2 linked regions of the Drosophila melanogaster genome follow. The protein of the gene in region 1 interacts with the protein of each later gene in a pairwise test. Each region holds a gene or a part of one and is shown in the gene's direction. Other genes may lie near its edges. The genes, in order: Skadu and CG15546.

The links.
Region 2: the proteins of Skadu (region 1) and CG15546 interact in a two-hybrid assay, tested with the Drosophila melanogaster proteins (one large-scale study listed by BioGRID).

What each region holds. Positions count from the first base shown.
Region 1 is NT_033779.5:15,545,330-15,548,852, forward strand, and holds Skadu (skadu), read left to right. Parts: upstream 1-2,189; 5' UTR 2,190-2,235; coding exon 2,236-2,283; intron 2,284-2,338; coding exon 2,339-2,692; 3' UTR 2,693-2,914; downstream 2,915-3,523.
Region 2 is NT_033777.3:30,874,486-30,878,412, reverse strand, and holds the start of CG15546 (uncharacterized protein), read left to right. Parts: upstream 1-2,226; 5' UTR 2,227-2,278; coding exon 2,279-3,511; 3' UTR 3,512-3,927.

The sequences.
Region 1 (3,523 bases):
CTTTATTTCCTTGAAAACCAATAATAATTCAAAAAGCCTCAACATATGCGTATGTTGACATGAAAAGTATACACATTCCTCTGGAATTGCCTTTGAAATAAACCTATTAGTATAAGAAATTCACTTTGCAGCTCTCAACTTCTTCGACATGACAATGGAATTTTCAGCATTTAAAATGGCTTAGCCGTTTACACTGACTATTCCAGAACACTTTTTATTTTAAGCTGACTTTGCAGCACAATTGGCCAACTTGACGGTCCGCCGAAGGATTTAAGTTCGTCCGGCGCCTGACGAAATGCTGCCAAAATGCAAAACAAATACAACAAGACTAAAGTAGGATGAAATCAGAGTGAAGGAATTTTCGGTGAGGGGAAATGAGCGTGGGCAAACAAATCCTGTCGCATAATTTTTGGCAAGAACGTGAAATTAATTATGCGCAGGAAGAAAAGCGGCAGGCGAATGAGCACCAGCAGCGGAAAAGGGCTAACACAAAGGACCTCGAGTAACATCCTGGCCAAGTCGCGTCAGCTGCCAACAATTTTCCTGGCGCCCAACAGGAGCCGCCGGAGTGGGCAGCATTCGGTCTGAAGCATCCGAGGATTATGTTAAATTTAGCGGTGACGATGACACACAAGACACTTGGCAAAAGGTTCTCACACAATGGCCGCAATAATTGCGCGGAATTGGGAATGCCTGGTTAGTGGCGTGGATGGCGAGGGGAAAGGTGGAGTGGCAGCGGTACAGCAGAAGGTGGCCATTAATTGTGCAAAGTCAGTGCGGCTGAAAAAGGCAAAGTCAGTGCCAAGCAGTAGACGCCGCTTGCCAAAAGACACTCAGGCAAAATTGTGTGTCTCCGAAAATAAATTTGAACTTATATGTAGTACATCAAATTTAATTGAGAAATAATATTTCTAAAATATTTCTTACTTTGTTTGGTTTTTTTAAAGCTTAGCTTTATAAAACAATAAAAATATGATTTTAAAGTGTCAATAATTATGTATATATTTTTTCAAACCAATTATAATAGCAATACCAAAAAAAATTTCATGTTGTGTAGCTTTTTTTCTTATGTTTTGTTATTTTGTTTGAATATGTTAATATTTATTTTGTCAAGGAAAACATAAGAAGTTATGTTTTCAGTGAATGACAGACAAAATGGAGTTGAAATAAAAGGACGATGCAAGAGAATAAAATGCCCTCAACGAGGTCCTTCGCCTCCTTTACCATTTTCGTGTCCTCCACCTCTCTATTTCGGTATGCCATAAATTTGATGCTATTTTTATTGTCATTTCCATGGCGAGGCAGAATGTTTGTTTAATTTTATATGCCGACCAAAGGACTTCCCTGTCCTTTTGGGCAACCCTAACAATTAAATACAATTTCGTAAGTCCCGAAAAGTGCGTCGTTGTCACAGCAAGGAAATATACAAGCGAACGGCATAGAACAGAGCGTATGTATATCTACATAAATCATGCACGGTTCTCGAATGCTTCGCTTCTATTTATCAAGCTCAGCGGAATTCTATGTGGAGAATAATCTAAAATAGGTGGCGGGGAAACCCGGAAATGTACTTTTTGCAACGCGCATGGAAATTTGTTTTTGGGCAGTATTTCAAATACTTTAATTTCTTAATTTACCGCGATTTACCAAGCCGCATCGCATTAGGGAAAGGCATGGAAGGCTTTTCGTCGGCAGCGGGAGAGACAGCATTTCCGTTTGCGGCTGGCCAAATATTTGCATTAAATTTGGCCAAGTGGCAACGTTTATTTTGCTATTATACATTTTTTCTGTTCTGTCCCTTTGCTTGCTTTCAATTGCGTTTTTTACCCCCTTTTTTTGTGCTACGGCACTTGATTTTCTCATTCTCTATTTCCTCTTCATTTTTCTTCACTCTGCGAGTGTGTGGGGATATTTTTTTTTAGTTGTACAACAATTTCTTTGTTTGCTCTGTGCTTTCGTGGCGAGTTAATTTCGTATTTCCGCTCATTTAACTGCATTTCCCCCTGCCGTCCATCTCCATCTACCCGGTTGCCATGGGCCGGCTCAAAGTGCCGTGAAGTTGTTTTGGCCGCAGGAAGTTCATTTGTAGAACAGGCAACAGAAGCGAAAGTCATATGAATTTGTAGAGAAGAGCCGGCTATGAAGTGCCACTCGGAAGGAGTAAAAAGAGTTTAACTTCAGTGTATACAAAAAAAAACAATTCAACACGAAAATATATATATTTAATAAGACCAAATGGAATCAGCCGTACGAAAGCGCAGAGTTCCCTTTCTCCAGGACAATGTGAGTGAATATTCCAGGAAAATTCATCCGCCAAAACTAATCATAAACTTTTTAGAGACATTCCGATAAACGGACATGCAACTTGTCAACAATATCACCTCGCAGCACTCTAGTTCAAACAGTAAAGAAACCCGTCAAGAAGTTCTCTTCGGATTTAGCCAATCTTCCACCGGTTCCCGCAATCGATGCTTTTGAGCGAGGCTACCAAGTGGAATCGATATTGGACATGGTACAAAACATCCACAAGGAGCAATTCCTCTACATAAAGTTTACGAATCTCATTGAACCCGAGTTGGTTCCTTTGGAACTGGCCTTACAGCATGTTCCACACCTGCTTTCTGATTTCTACAAGGAATACGTCCAGGCCTGGCAGAAAATGGAACAACAGAAGTATGATGAATCTCCTTAAAATTGAAGAGAGAAATTAAACACAATGAAGTATGAGAAGTGCGAAACTGCCTCACATTTATGACGCATCCTTTTCTGCAGTCTCGCGTCGAGTTTTAAATAATTTTATGCCTATTTGGCTCGTACAGCTCGCAAAATTTCGCACCTCAGCCATCAAAAGTTGGGGCGGACGTGCGTGCCAGAAGTTTTTGCCATCCGCAAATAAAGGATACAGAAAATGTTTAAACAGGGGTGTAGAGATCTCTTTTTTAATGGGGGTTGTTGGTTTGTTTATGCTTTCATTAATTTATAACGTAAAACTTGAATTTTGAATTTGAGAAATATATTTTATTTTCATATTCAAAAAGATCATTTAACTTATCACATTCTTTTGAAAATTGCAATTTATAATTATTTTTTGTACCTTTTTTTTCTCCTTAAGCCCCCATTAGTCCACTCCCCTGAATATCCTTATAAAAATTATATGTCAAGCGCAAAATCTCGGGCAAAACGAGTTGGCGAGAAAAATTGCTTAAAGATGCAAGATACAAAAAGCTGGATGAAATTTTCGAAGAGAAAGGCAAACCGATTCTAAAAGCGAGGAAGCGAATGTGAAATGCATGTGCAGTAGATGCGGATCTGAAGGAAAGTGCGAATGTGAATTTAAAATGATGTGCATGCGAGGAATTCGATTATTTAATATGAGAATTTGATTCAGCATCTCTGCTATGAGTTCGGAGTCTTTGGCAGCAGGTGCACTTCCCCCTCATGGAGACTTTACGACGACCAACTGTGCATCTGCATCTGCATTTTTATGTGTGTGCGGGTGCGCAGTATATTTGTTTAACTTATG
Region 2 (3,927 bases), on another chromosome or scaffold:
AAAACCAGATGATACTCAATGCCAGCCACCAGCAGCAGCAGCAGCCGCAGCAACATCCGCAACAGCAGCAGCACCAACAGCAGCAGCAGCAACACGTGGCCCACGGAAAGAAGGCAGCCAGAAAACACCAGCAACATCTGCAGCAACAGCAGCAGCAACAGCAACAGCAACAGCAACAGCAACAGCAGCAGCAGCAACAGACCAGTGCGCCTATGTACAATAACAATAGTAGTAGCAACCACAACGGCAACAACCAAAGCCAAGAAGTAACTACCTATTAAACAGACCAAATGAACTGAAACCACAGCAACACCAACAGCCAACAGCAACATTGAACACCAAAAAAAAAAACTCACCATTTCCGCATTCTGTATTCTGTTACCCTTCCGTTTACCCCTTTTCCCTGCAAATCCAGGTGTCGGTGCCGGTGTCGCACATCATTGCCAATTCGCCGACGGCCGCCACGTATATGCAGGCCCAGCTGAGCGAGCACGCCAGCAACATGCAGCACGGCATGCCCATTGTCACGTACAATGGGAACCAGTACTGCGTGATTACCCGTGCCCCGGATCTGGATGTGGAGGCGATGCAGAAGCCGCTGGACTATGGCCACGCAGCCGGAGGAGCCACCAACATAATAGTAATGTCGCCGATGCAACTGCTGCCCCCCCAGCAGCAGCAGCAGCAGCCGCAACAGCAACAGCAGCAGCAGTAAGCACCATCGAAGAGAAAGGCTAACTGACTGGCCAATCAGCTATAAATACGAATTGTAAATAAAGTCTTAAGCAGCCGAGAGCAACCCTAAGTATATGTTTAACAACACTACCCAGCAAAACTAAAAACTAAAAACAAAGAAAAAAACAAAGTTTGTAAATGTCAGGTTATAAAGCATAGATCCCCGTGTCAGCGATGTCAACTCAAAATCAAACGTAGTCTAAGCAACCTAACATATCCCCCCGCAGAACGTATATGGTACCCATCTACATGAGCAGCCACCACACTGAGATATATAGATATGCCACTTCGCCGTTTCGCAATTTCAGACCCTCCAGAGTAGTATCCCCACATAGACCCGTATGCAAACCGAACGTGTATGATATTGTATGTGTTTCTATGGCATTGTTTGTACATTAAGCTTATTACGTACTCCAAATACGTCTTCGACTAAAACGCAGCCTGGGAGGTAAACCAAATAAAATGAATTAATGGAAGCAAAACATAAGTAGCAGTAGTAGTGTCCATCAGCAAAGCTCCCCACACATCTCCCCACTCCATTCCAATGGCAAACCATGTAAAGATCAAGAGAAAATAAATTTAATTTAATTAAATAAACACTGGTATGTTTTACTGGTGTTTCGCTTTTCCTTTTCAAAGTGCATTGTTCACGACATTGTGTCAGAGTATTGAGCTCCTCTCAACTTTCAGCCATGTAATGTTACGTATACGCAGTGTCGGCCATACTGAGCATCATTCAAGTGACACTCACTTGCGGCCAAAAGTACGTTGAAGTTGAAGCCATTAAAGCACCCAATAATTGGCATCTGTTGTCGTTTATTATTCTTGGTCGGCCAACTTTGGCGGCATTCTGGCTTTTTAGTCCGAACGGACAGGCCAAAAGCGAAGTAAAAACCAAAACATTTGGTCAACGCTGAGCTCACGAAAATCAACTTTTCGTTCCAAAAGTGAAAAATGCCGCGATTTGGTTTGACCTTAGATGGAAACTCGTCTCTGCCGCTGCGCCGTCGACTTCGCTGCCAACGTCCACGCTGCACTGGCAGCAAATAAATTTTTGCCTCGATGCTGTTTGTGTTTGTTGTTAATAAGTCACTCGAAGAATTTGCAAAAGGGTATAATGTATTTTCAAAAATCTTGCGAGAGGCTAAAAACCAAAACCAACAAGTGTGTCATTTTCCAAACTGCCTGCAGTGAATGCAGCGCACTGTTTGCTTTCGAAGAAATCGAATATGGAAATATAATTAAATGCTGTATATTTCCAATTCGTAGAGTATCCAAAAGTTTATAAACACAGAAACTCTCGTTTTTACTCACTTCTCGAGTTATTTTTCGCAAGAATCGCAAATTAGTCTGGGGCCTGGTTGATCACCTGAGCAAACGAAACTGAACGCCTACGACAAATGACAACGCCGATGGCGACGCCAACATCTCAGCCATTTTATGTGCTCTCCGGCCTCCGACGGATTCTTTTTGTGTCAGTCGGTTTGCGGACCAGTCTCCGATCAGTCGAGTGGACCACCAATCCGGCGAAGATTGGGCGACCATGCTGAACGGAAAATTCTACACGGGCTTGCCGCCCAAAATGGTGGAGCGCCAGGCGGTGAAGGTGTGCAATCGCCAGGAGTCGCACTTCTTCTGGCCAGACGATTCCCGAGCGGATTCCGCGGTGGAAACCCGAGCAAAGAGGAGAAACAGCCAGCAGCTGGAGAGGCCTGTGGAAAGGATTACTTCCAATCAGAATGTATCCGACGAAGTGGACACACGGCGAATGTTTCACAAGGAGTTTGCCAGTTCTTCCATACAGTTCTATGATAATCTGCAGTCTAATCCTGGAAATAAACCTTCATTGGCAAGGGGTCTACGCAGAGAAATAACCCCAAAACTAACCGAAGTGAGACCGCAGGAATCGGATAACAAAGCTGAGGACACCAGCAGCCGTCGCCAGCAGGCTTACAGCTCCAAGATCCAGTTCTACGATTATGTAAACGAAGCAGATAACCTAACTCAAAATAACGCCAGGAGACCACAAATGGACTTGAATGACAAGCGCGAAGTGGAACTGAATTCCAAGAACAGTCCCAAGCTGCAGGTCAAAAGAAATGTGCGCAGTTTCAGCGTGGAACTGGAGCCCAAGGTCACCAAGAAACCCCTGAACGACAGTCCCGAGTGGCGGCGGCCACGCCCACTGCCCCTGCCCAAAAGGATACTGAAGCAAACGTCACAGGATCAGGACCCGTACGACCATCTGGAAAGTCGAGTCCGAAGATTGCAACTAACCCGAAGTCCCGGACTGCCCAAAAAGCATGTGACCTACAACGAGGAGGCTGCCGAGTACGCCTACTACGATGATCGGGTGGATCGCGATGATCGGGAGGATCGCGAGGATCGTGAGGAGCCCACCTACGAAACTCGCTACCGTCAGCAGCCAAATATGCCGACAGGAAGTCGCCAGCAGCAGCAGCAGCAGCAACATCAACGCTCTTTTATGGAAACTAGTCGGAGCAAGCCATTAAATAATAATAATAATTATCAGGCCAACGGCAATGGTAGGAAAATCTTTCCAAAAATGCCACAGACCCAATCCGGAGTGGGTAACACACACACTATCGACGAAGATCCCCCCGTGCCCTCTGACCCTCGCAAACACCTGCGCAGCAGCCTCTGCTTCAGCGGCGACGCTTTGATGGTGGGCGGTACGGCGTCGCAGTCGCCGCCCACTGCGCAGGCGCGTCGCAGCTCAGCGGGGCAGAGAGTGAGCGTGGGTCTGCCGGACTGAGGGCTCCAGTTCGCGTGTTCAGTGATTAGTGCAGCTACACAGTGAGAAATGCAAGTGCAAAAACATATAACTGAAGCGATGAAGAAGATCATACAAGAATATCTGCTTGACAATCATTAGGATGAAATAGTATTACAAATATTTCTCTATGTAGTAAGTCGACAGCAACAATCTGCATTGCTAATTGAAAGCCAACAGCGACTGCAACAGAAGCAGCAACAACATCTGCAGCACAACAGCCACATCAGCAGCAAGTTGATGCGACAGCAGCAGCTCAACCTTTTTTTAGTTTTTACTTTTACGATCCCATACAAACTCTGAATTCACCCACATGCGAATGAATGAGTCGGCTTTTTTGTTGTTTTCGAGCGGTTGAATATACATACATAAACAAACCTTGATCTTGACTAATTTGT